Rhinolophus ferrumequinum: one gene and its partners. The protein of the gene in region 2 interacts with the protein of the main gene of each other region in a biochemical or structural test. Links are inferred from orthologs where the notes say so. Each region holds a gene or a part of one and is shown on either strand. Other genes may lie near its edges. The genes, in order: TANC1, DLG1 and ARHGEF16.

The links.
Region 1: the proteins of DLG1 (region 2) and TANC1 interact in a test that uses a peptide from one of them, tested with the Homo sapiens proteins (2 studies listed by IntAct, with this or other methods). The link is inferred for Rhinolophus ferrumequinum from reciprocal best matches to the Homo sapiens genes DLG1 and TANC1.
Region 3: the proteins of DLG1 (region 2) and ARHGEF16 interact in a test that uses a peptide from one of them, tested with the Homo sapiens proteins (2 studies listed by IntAct, with this or other methods). The link is inferred for Rhinolophus ferrumequinum from reciprocal best matches to the Homo sapiens genes DLG1 and ARHGEF16.

The regions. Positions count from the first base shown.
Region 1 is NC_046291.1:63,164,925-63,168,668, forward strand, and holds the start of TANC1 (protein TANC1), read right to left. Parts: upstream 2,789-3,744; 5' UTR 1,414-2,788; intron 1-1,413. UniProt on the Homo sapiens protein: May be a scaffold component in the postsynaptic density.
Region 2 is NC_046285.1:51,451,698-51,455,441, forward strand, and holds the start of DLG1 (disks large homolog 1), read right to left. Parts: upstream 2,379-3,744; 5' UTR 1,979-2,378; exon of another isoform or gene 1,968-1,978; intron 1,709-1,967; exon of another isoform or gene 1,627-1,708; intron 1,507-1,626; 5' UTR 1,478-1,506; coding exon 1,459-1,477; intron 763-1,458; coding exon 631-762; intron 1-630. UniProt on the Homo sapiens protein: Essential multidomain scaffolding protein required for normal development. Recruits channels, receptors and signaling molecules to discrete plasma membrane domains in polarized cells.
Region 3 is NC_046292.1:1,913,292-1,917,035, forward strand, and holds the start of ARHGEF16 (rho guanine nucleotide exchange factor 16), read left to right. Parts: upstream 1-1,201; 5' UTR 1,202-1,632; coding exon 1,633-1,835; intron 1,836-3,526; coding exon 3,527-3,744. UniProt on the Homo sapiens protein: Guanyl-nucleotide exchange factor of the RHOG GTPase stimulating the exchange of RHOG-associated GDP for GTP. May play a role in chemotactic cell migration by mediating the activation of RAC1 by EPHA2.

The DNA of each region.
Region 1 (3,744 bases), on a different chromosome or scaffold from region 2:
AGAAACACCAACTCTCTGTACCAACAAACCAGGTTTCTCTTTTCCTCTCCCATTCCCACCGCCTTCAAACACATTATTAACGTCTGCAGTCTGGTGGTCTGGTATTTCCAGAGCTAGGGACCTCAGCGATCCTAAGCCCTTTCCTCAAAAGATCTTGAACCAGGCACTTCCTCCCTGTGCCAGAGCTGGAGGCCCATCCCACGGGAAGATTCAGCTTCTCTTTACCTTGTAACCCGCCCAGACGGCGCTGCAACTCGGGTCAAGTTCAAGATGAAGGTGCCCTCCTAACCTCTCCGAGTTGACTCCAACAGGGGACAGCGCTACCGAGACGAGTCCCATCACTCCAGGCATGGGGATCTGGGGCTGCCGAGAGTGGCCTGGAGGCAGTTCAGAGGCGAAGACTACGACAGTCTCTCAGCCCCGCGTCTCCGACCCCCTGGCCGCGGCGCCTGATTTCTACCTGGCCACCGCCGCATTTCCTCCCGGAGCCTTGTACAATAAGTCAAGTAAGTTTTGAGAACGCTTGTCCTGAGACATTTCTGCCTGCAAACACAACACACAATGCTTAGGGCTTCCTTCCTAGCCAGCCGTTCCGGAAAGCTGCCGCGCCAAAGCCGGGAGCCCCGCACACCCCCAGCATTGTTCGCCTGCACCCCAAAGTCCTTCAGGAAGACGGTGCGCCCTGACATAAGTACCCTCAAAGTGACCACTCTCCAAAGAACGGGGGGATTTACAATCTTGATACAATTCTCGTCTTTCTCAGCTCTCCCTCAATACCTAATCCTACCTGGCTCACCCCCCACCACCAAAGGAACATAGATATGCTCATTGCAATGTTCTTCCAAGCGAAGCAATAGACTTTCAGCCCAGACTGGGGTATTACGACATCACCCTCCTCTGGCTTAAGTTCACCCAGCAACTTCGCGATCCGTGCTCCCCTACACTCGGAGGTCACCCTGGACCCCGCGGTGCTGGGAGCGCCTCTCCCTCGCCTCCCCCGCCCCAGGTACCAGGCGTAGCCCAAGCCCTTGCCAAGCCCGAGGGCTACAGAGGAGGCGAGAAAGGGGGCGAGGAGGCCGGGGGATTGTGCGTCCTGGGTGCCCTCGAATCCCAGCTCCGCCGGGGCCGGTTCGGTACAGCTAGGAGGGGATGGCGAAGGGAAGGCGCAGACTCTCCAGAGACGCCAGGACCAAGGCCCGGGGTGCCCAACATGTCTGTTCCTATCCCCGGAAAGCTCCTCAGTGTACCCAGTGGGGGGCGGGGGAGGATCCAGAAACTTTCCCACATGCCTTTCCACTCTCCCCATCACCCTCTCCTCCTCCCCGGGACCCTCTCCTCCCCTCTGCTCCGCTGCATCTGGCCGTGCCCCGGGCGCACAGAGGCCTGCTGCGGCGCCAGGGCGGCGGGAGTTACCTGCTGGGAAAGTTTCCAGCTCCTCGGCGCGATTCCCCACCCCCAGGGCTGGGCCTCCGGGTGCGGCCAGCTCGGCGCTCCGCGGCTGCCTCTCCTCCCGCTTCCGAAGCGGCCGCTGCTGCTGCAGCTGCCACAGCAAAGGCTGCGATCCCGCCCGTCCCCCCGCCTCGCACGGCCCACACCAGGGCCTCATTGGCAGCCCGAATCCCCGCCCTTGCGCGTGTTCCCGAAGGCACCTTCCTCTCGCGCGCGGGCCCGGGCAGCGCCTCCCGCACCCCTCCCCGCCCTGGGCTGCCGGGGCTCCCGGGACCCGTTGGATCGCGGCGCTCGAACTTTCCGCGGGGTTCAGGCCCGGCGCCCCCCTGCTCCGTCTCTCCCGGCCAGGTCTCCAGCTTTCCTCAAGGGGGCTAGTCCCTCGAGTCTGAGCTTGAGTCACTCCCGGACTGGATCAAGATGGGTGATAGTCTTTTTTTTCAATCTCTTTAAAATCAGTGAAGTGACCCGGCCTCCCCTCCTTGCTGCTTTTTAAAAACAACCGAGAAGGACATATGGGAGCAATTAACAAAGCTGAAGTTTTGGTGGATTCTTTAAGGTGACTTGTGTGACTTGTCTTGAATTTTCTCTGCCTCACTTAACTACACACACACACACACACACACACACACAAAAAAAAAACACACACTCACTTTCTGTGCAACAATGTGCTAAGATAATGGAAGGTGTAAGGAGCATCTCGCCTGCTTGCTGTGTCTTTCTTTCGCCAGAGCGAATTGGGGACGTTTAGGGACCGGAGATTGCCCTGGCGTCCCCGGGGCCCGGTGTCTACAGCCTCCTCTGACAGCTCCAGGCTGGCCCTGTGCTGTCTGTGCTACATCTACCGAAGGCTAACGACGGGCTTTTATCCGCGGGAGGAGTAGGTATGGAGCCGGGAGAATACAAAGATGCTATTATTGTTTTGGCTGGTAGGAGTGAGTGAAATTCCCAAGTTCCCAAAATGTTTTGTTATTCCCCAGTAGACCGAGATCCGGGATAGGGCCTACTGTTTCAGGAGTCCTGGTTTCGCTGGCTTCTCCTAGGAATCCCAGGCAGCCTGGGATTCCTATTCAGGCTGGGGAGCTCAGCCCACTCCACACCCAAAGCCCTTTAGACCAGACCAGACCGGCCTTGGTCACCGAAGGATCAACCAGGACTGCTGTGCCTTGTGTGGCCTGCGGGACTTGTGCAGGAGTCACCCCAACGGTGTGTCTGTAACTGGGAATACAGAAGTTGCTATAAATGGATTTATTGGCAACCTCTAACCTTGCTGTGGCAAACCCGCCTTTAAAGACAACTGTTTTAAACAAGTTCCCCCATAAAAACTTCAACCTCACGCAGAGCTTCCCAATGTAAAGATATCCGGGGAGGGGAGTGTCCATACCTAAAGTTCTTATGAAAAGGGGCAGGAAGCAAAATGCCACACTAATCGCTCTACATAAATAAAAGATGCTGAAATTTGCTGGATTTTTCACCCATGTTTCAAAGGCCTGATTATTTCTGCACTGATATTTGAGCAGTAAACATATCAGCAGCATTGAAGTTCTCCTGAAACAAAGCAAGACAGAAACATTTAAAGTAAAATATCAATTTATTAAACCAGAAAAACCTTTGACTTATTTCTTCACTCTGAAATGTCTCATTGCTGAAAAATACTGTAATATGTTTTATTTAACTTCTCTTGAAATGCATAAAAGTTAGCAATCTTTCAACAATAGATGAAAAAGCCAGACAGCAACCTTAATGATGAAAGAATGACACAAACAAAAGAAAAAAAGAGAAACTCCATGGTAGTTTTAACTAATCTGAAATATTGAGATATAAAAGAAACAATCCCGGAGAAATAGACTGGTCTGATTCCCTGCCTCAGACTTCTTTATAATTGGTAAAATGTATAATGGCAGAAATCGACAATTTGTATCACATTCTGTCTTTGGCTTTTCTAAGCTATATTCACCAAGTTTTTGATGAAATCGCGTAGTTAAATTGGGTTTTGAAGACAGTGAAATTCATTTTTTCCTCTCTATCCTCAGAGCTCCCTAAGTAGTAAGTAGAAAAACACATAAAGTAAATACGTTAATTACTGGAATCGTCTTTAGATTCTGTTTAGTTGAAAAAATGTCTTCAGAGTTTCAGAAGTCACAGTCACGAAAGAAATAACTTCATCACTGCCTAGTTAGGAGTGCTTAATATTCGAAACAGGCATATAGCTAGCAATCTGAAATTTGTACACAGAGGGCCCTGTCTCCCCTTCTTCCTGTAGTGCTTATATAATCCAAACTACATATGTTATTATGC
Region 2 (3,744 bases):
TTAAATGATTTGTATAATGTTATTTGATTAATGACAATGTCAGGAATAGAATTCAGGACTTGTAACTATTTGTCCAGTTCTCCTTTAAAACAATGCACCATCTCAAATTTAAGTTACAATTAAGAATAAAATGGTTTCAATTTTCTTGTCTATAAAATAAGATTGGACAAAATCATCTCTAAGATTTTCCAGATCTAAAATTCTGACTCCCAGTTTAAACAGAAGTCTATGTTAATGCAACGAATGTTCTTACACATAGCAAAACTCTTCAAACATTTTCAGGCACTCCAGAGAAATTCAAGTCACAGAAACAAGCTAACAGTTATTCAGTTGTTACCTTTTGGGTTTGGAAACAATTTTGTAACTACTCCCTTTTTTAGTTGTTAATGCTAGGATGTGAAATATTGTTTTCTAAGACTAAAATAATCATACTGAAAGCTTTTTCAGTTCTCAGATATTTTTGAAAAGGATATTGGCCTATCAAAATATACAATTCACTGGATGTTAAAGTTACTGAATGCCTCACAGAGAACTAAGTACATCACTCTCTTAAGTCTTAAATAAACAAATTCAGAGGAGCATTAAACCTAGCTGACACATAATGGTCACAAATAAAATTTTAATTCCCACCTATTAAAGCCTGAAAGAGGTTGCTCTGAAATATGTTTATAACTCGTTCTATGGAACTTCTGAGCTGTCTGTCTTCAGTCTGGCTTAGTTTTGAACGATATTCCTCCAAAAGGTGCAATGCTCTCTGGGTATCTGAGAAGAAAAATAGAGTCTGATTAAAATTATATATTTACAAGAAAGTATTACACACTAGCTATGTAGCAAATGATTCTCTAAGACAGCTAAACAGTTCCCAAAATCCATCTCGTCAATAGATGCTACTATGTTCATGTATACACATATTCCCTAGAATGATCCAAAAAAAATTTAAACATGTCACAGTAGAAAAAGGAGGAAGGTGAGTAGTTTGTAATAAATGTGTCTGGTAGGTAGACAATAAAAGATAATTTGATAAAAGTATTAGTAACATAGTTTCAGCTGATCTGATATGCAAAAGCAGATTATCTACAATTGGTCATTATAATCCAAAGCTTAAATGTTTCAAAATACTAGCTCTTAGCCAGTTCCACATTTGCTCACAAAAGTGTTTAGTAAGAATGATAATGAAATATTAAAACACCAATTCAGAGTTTTTAAAGACATTGCAGAGGGGAAAAATTGCCTCTTGATAATCACTAGAGAGATGCCAAGGTAAAAAGTTTGACAAACATACAGGTGTTTCCATCTTCTGAATGACGTGAGGCTTAGATTCCCTAAGTAGTAAGGCTAGCCAGCACTGTGCCATCCCATCAGAGTTCCACAAACATTTTTAAAATACAGCAATGAGAAAAAAAAGGCATACAGAAAAGCAAGTGACATCCACAAGAGATTTCCGAAATAAATTCTCACCTTGCTTCCGGACCGGCATTTTTCTCCAGAATCAGGAAGAGTACACACCTTTAAAAACACAAAACAGAAAGGAAAAAGAACTAAAGAAGAGAATAGAATCCTGGCTAAACTAGGATTTCCCCCTAAATCTCAAATCGAAAAACTCCCAGCCGTATTTGAAAAGCTCACCTGGCAAAGTTTTCCCAAGTGAAAGGAAGGTCCTCAGTGTCAGTCAATTTAGACAAGGTTTTACCTAGGGGTGGGCACCTCTCTGCAAATTAAGAGCAGGCAGAAGTCGGCTTCCAAACTGTCTTCCAAAGCTGCCCCCTCTCCAAAGGGCACTAAATGCCTAGACGTGGGGCCATCCCTCCCCCGGCATAAGTATGCACACTCCCCACCTGCTACTGGCGGGTGTGGGGGGAGGAGTGAAGAGGCGCTCCGACCCTTAGCCCCCTAAGCCAGCAGAGGCTGTAAAGCGCTCCGAGAAGGGACCAGCGGGGCTCATCACCCCGCCCTACCCGGGCCCCTACCTCTCGCTTGCCTTTCTCCTGGCTTGCTTCCTCCGGGCTACTCCAACAGGGGCCGGACAGGGCAGCGGCCGCTCTCCACGACGCCCTGGTGCCCCACATGCACACCTCCGCGGGCCCCCACACCTGCGGCACCGCCACAAAGTTCCTGAGAGCGGCGTGCGCTCGGAGCTGGGGTGCGCTTCGATCCGACTCGGGGCGGTTCCCCCGCCCTGCTCCGCTCCACGTCCCCCCGCCCCGCCCGGGGCAAGGAGCTGAGCTGAGGGGGGTGAGGGAACGGGGGAGGAGCTCCCCTCGGCGGCCGCACCCCCACTGCCTCTTCCTCCTCCTCGGCCGATGTCGCCGCCGCCTCCTTACTCGCCGCAGCCAGCTAGCCCGCTCGCCCTCTTCCCTCCTAGCCGCCCCACCCCCGGAACCTCGCCTCCTTCGGCGCCCCCAACCGCTCTCCCCCCAAACTTTCCGCCAAGATGGCGGCCCCGGAGCTGGATTGCCGCGCCCCCACGTGATCGCTTTCCCGGCGCTCTCAGCCAATGGGAAGTGAGGAGGCGGCTCGCGCCGAGCCCCGGGCTCTCAGCGCTGCTACCTTTGGGTTGGAAAGGGGAGGAGGGCCGGGAGGGGCCTGGGGAACGAGAACGGGGACCAGGAGAGCATCCCAAGTGAACCCCCTCTCTTAAAGGGGCGCCACCGTAGAGGCTCTGAGGACAAAGGAGTGACACATGGACTCTACAGGTGGTCTGGGATGGCCCTGGCTGAGCCCGCCTTTACCTCGCCCTAGCCCACCGGTGTGTCCCTCTGTTCTGAGCGAGTAGCGAGCCAGACCCGGGAAGGTCGGAGTGTCTGAAGACAGACGTGACTTCACCTATACGAGATCCAAGACACACATTCCGAGACACCCTTTAACCTCACTAAACACGTGCTGTTTTCATCTCCGCGTCAGGAGAAAGTGCCTGACACCCCGAGGCTTGGATCCCCAACCAAGAAAAGCGGTCTCGGGGTGGAGTTGACTGTGCCACCCACGTTAGGGGCGGGAGAGAATGGGGCCTAGGAAGGGAGCAAGGGGGGAGTTTGGGCGGGGGGTGGTACCATCTCTGCACTATGTTCTACTTTGTACCGATCTTTTTAAAGTTACTATTCAGTAAAAGGTTTTGGGGGGTTGAATTAAAGAAGGGCACGTAAAATAAGAAGATTGATAAGAGTTTGAGGGTTTTACTAGAGGAGTTTTAAGTCTAAGTGATTAATTCAAAGCATGAATACATTTAATGATGGGAAGAGAAAATTCGTTCCTTCTTTCACTCTCCCATTCATTCATTCCCCCCTTGCCTGCGACACCTGCCTCGTCATAAGCCTCAGGTATTACCCAAGCTCAGGCGGCCCCTTTAAGAACTCACCTGCAGCCACCTCCTCTGAAGCACAGCCGCCTTAACTCGCATTGCTGGTTTAAGTTTCGACTGCACCTCCGAGCGGGACTGCGGGCGGGCCAGGACCCCGTTCAGGGGCTGAGCTACCCAGGTTGTAGAAAGAATCTCGCGGAAAGCTCTCCAAGTCACTGCCCAGGTCCTTGAGCCCCTTCTAGATAACAGGGACCTCCCTGCTCTGAGATCCAGAGAGAAGAATTTGCCCAAGGTCACCCACAGTTAGCGACAAAACTGGAAACACGGAGATTGTGTCTTTCAAAACCGAAAGACTCTTCCCAGTAAACCCGACAGCCTTTCACCGAGGCCATATCCTTGGAATAAAAAGGAAGTCTGGGGAACCTTGTACTGTAACCATTAACAGAAGT
Region 3 (3,744 bases), on a different chromosome or scaffold from region 2:
GAGGGGCCACTGCAGCTTAGGACTGGCCGGGTTTTGTGGGGCTGAGGGTAGGCTGTCCAGAGACCTCCCCTAACGCCCTTGCTCACTCCCAACCCACACTCCTCACTTCCAGGCCCCTAGGGCCCCATACCTGCCCCCGAATGTGTGCCAGGGACACCAGGGCAGGCTGGTGAGTGGCAAAGGGAAAATCGAATGGCATGGCTTCCAAGGGCTCAATTGTTGGGGGCCCCTCCTGGCCCACCCTAAGCAGAAGCACCAAAAGGTGGCTCGGACCGTCTGGAAGCCTCCGTGATGCAGCCCTGGGGGTCTCTGCTGACTCGAAGCGAAATACCCAGGTGGACTAGTTCTTGGCACAGAGTACCAGTGACTCTTAGGGAGGGCGCCGTCCCAGAGCGGAGGGGACCAGAGCAGAACAGGTACCCGTGATACCTGGCGTTCACTCATCAGTTTGGGAAGTGAGCCTGACTGTTTGTGGGGACGTGAACAGGAAATTGTCCCTGCTCCCGGAGGACCCACAGACTCGTGGGGGAGACAGACAGACAGCACCCAGCCCTCAGTGCCGTGGGCCTCTCTGGAGGAGCTTACCAGGGCCACCTTTGCTGGGAGCAGACCGACCTCCGTGACCTGAGTGCTCAGTGCAGTGTCCAGAGTGTCTGGCCTCTCGGTAACTGTTGCCCGGACAGCATGGCTGTCATTTGCCCCGGAGGCAGCTGAAAGGAGTCTGTGCTCTCGGCCCCTCCCCTGTGCTGGCTCCAGGACACCAGACAAGGGCGAGCGTCCAGTGAGGACACTGAAGAGATACCTGTGGATCCAAGCAGCGGACATTGAGGCAGGGGGCATCCCAAAGAGCCTGACAGGCAGTGCGCTCGGGTCTGCACGTGTGCATGTGTGCCCTGGGCACACGGGCCTTGTGCCAGCACCATGCCCACCTCCTCAACACAAGCGGACAGCCGGGTCCCGATGGGCTGGCTGGTGGAGGCCGAGACAGGAGGAAAAGTGTGGGAGAAGGAGTTGGGCCGGGGAACAGAAGGGCACTAGTTTGAAAGGAAATAGTCATTGTGTTCAGCGTTGACAGAAGATGTGGCACCCATAAAAAATAACAGGTTGCCCACAGAGCCGTGGGAGCCGGATGGTGAGAACGACAGTACGTGTTTGGCGGGAAGGTTAAAAGATGACCTCAAGGGAAGACAGATGAAAACAGAGAAGAGGTCTGAGTCAGGAGGCAACTTCAGTGTGTTCATGCTTGTCGGGTTTTCCAGACGGATTAACCAGAGAGAACACACAGGTGAGAGAAGTTACCGCTGGAAACATCTGGACTTAGAAGACACACGTTGGAAGGATGCATGAGTACCAGGCTCAGGGAGTGGGTCCGTTCCCGTGAGCGCCGGAGCCCTGGGCGAAAGCTGGGAGACCCACACCCCCAGCAGGGCCGAGGAGGGCCCCATCATCCGAGGACGGACCTCGGATACCTCACCAGAGTGGAAGCTGGAAGACAAAGGAAGAAGGGTCCTCCCTCTGGAAGAAAATAACCACTGACGGGACTTTAAACTCAGCCACGTCACCAGTCCAGGGGAAGGAGAAGGAAGACATTTCAAAGACCTACTTTCTGGTCACTTCCTCTGAAGGAGGGACATGCCAGAGCCCGGGAGGGAGAGGAGCAGGATGGAGGAGGGTCTGGACCGCTGGGCGAGCTCCAGCCCAAAAGCAGGGGACAGGCCAGGGAGAGAGGACAGGGTGGCTGAGGGCACACGGGGCTGCTGTCCTGGTGGTATGGAGCGCGTGATGAAGACACACCACGCGGGGACGCTGGAACACGTCCAGGAGGAAAGCCGCAGGTAAACAGGAGGGAATCATTGATGAAGAGAGAGGCTCGGGGGTGGGTCCGTCCCGTGAGCCGACACACACGCCCTTGGGCATCACCCGGCAGGAAGAGGGTGGTGACGGCCACGGTGGAGAGATCTCAAAACAGCAGGCTTCACCGTAGTTAGAAATGAGGGCAAACAGGAGCGCGGAGTGGAGACCCGGGGGCACAGGGCGCGGAGGAGGCCACACCTGTCTGACAACAAACCTCTTCGTGCTGTTGGACTTTGGCACCCGTGTCCAGGTAGTTCTGTGATAAATTGAGCAATAGAACAAGGGAGACGTGGTATTGCCTGCGGTGGCTGCAGCCCTGAGCCCAGAGCACCTGCAGACCCCGGGGCCTGGCTAGGGGTGCCCAGGCCTGTGGGTACAGCCACCCTGCTGAGCACCCCACATCTGGCAGTGGTTCGCCCAACTGGTTTCATCCGGGCACTTGCTCCCCAGAGAAGACTTTGCCCTCTCCTGGGACAGGCCTGGGCTCAGAGGAAGGGATGAAGAAGAGTCAGGCCTGAGCCCCAGTACGGGGACCCCGGAGGGAGAGGAAGGAGGAAGGACGGGGCGGGCGGGGGCTGTATGTGTGGGCACTCGGAGACACAGTCGTGGAGCCGGCCCTTCCATGCTGCCTGTTCCCTTAACAATGCAAACGCCTCACGTTTAGGGTGAAAGGACGCACAGGGGTTTCGAGGCTGCAGGCTGCCCACGTGGGTGCCCTTTATTTGGCATGCTCACAGATGGAAGTCGGAACCCCGTTTTCCGGCCAGGCCTGGGTAAAAGGCAGACAAGTTAACATAGGGGCGGGGATCCGCGAAAGTGCAAACCTGCCCGGGCCCAGCCCCGGGGAGGCCTGGTATGACCGCTGCCATCCTCTGCCTGAATGAACCTAGGAATGCGCGGGCGGTCCTCCTGGTGTGGGGGTGGCCAGGGCTCCTGGGGACAGGGAGGCGCAGCCCAGCTGCCTTCCTGCGCGGGTTTAGTGGAGAACCTGACCTGTGCTGGGAGAGCTGAGCGGATCAGGGGCCAGGCTTTCGGGTGCCCCGCAGGTGGTCCGACTGTGCTGTACTGTAGGCCCGCCCCATGTGCCAGCCCCACCCCACCCCCCTCGGGGGGGTGGGGTGGGGGGGGCTCCTGGAAGCTCGGAACCTCCCAGGGGAAACCCAGACCCAACATGGGGCACTGAGTGTATGAGGTGGGGTCGGGCTGGGGCGTACCTGGTGGGAAATGGTGCCAAGAGGCTGTGACTGATTCTCGCCCAGGTCTGTGGGGCCCCGGGCCCAGGTCCCCTGAGCTACCCACACGTACACCCCCAGCATGGGAGTGTGTGACTCCCCCAGAGGTGGCATAGTGGCCTCACACGGCCGGCCGGCCTTGAGTGCAGTCTGCCTGACCCTGGGCGCTAGAGCTCAGAGAACCAGCCGCCTGGCCGCAGCCTGGGTCCCCGCAGGCCTGAGACTGTGCCGACCCTCCCTGCACACCCCAAGCTGGCAGCGCTCCGACCTCCCCGGGGAGGCCTGGTGACTGTGGCTGTGCCAGGGCCAGCTCCACGGCAGGCTGCGTGACTGGCCTTCGAGTGCTCGGACCCGAACGCAGGCTCTGGGCAGGGTGGGTGCTGAGAGGGCGGGGCCGGTGGCCATCTGCGTGCTGCCCTCACCTTTGCCCTGTCGCCCAGGACCCTGTGGCCGCCCAGCATGTCCCAGCGGCACTCAGACAGCTCCTTGGAAGAAAAGATGCTGGAATGCCGCTTCCACTCAGAGCTGCAGCTGGATGCCAAGGGGAGCCCAGCACCCAGGCTCCCGATGGTCCGGCGGTCCCTGAGGGTCACGGACAGTGCTGCCTCCCAGCCTGATGTCCCAGGTCCCCCGCCTCCAACCTCCGAGGACACGGAGC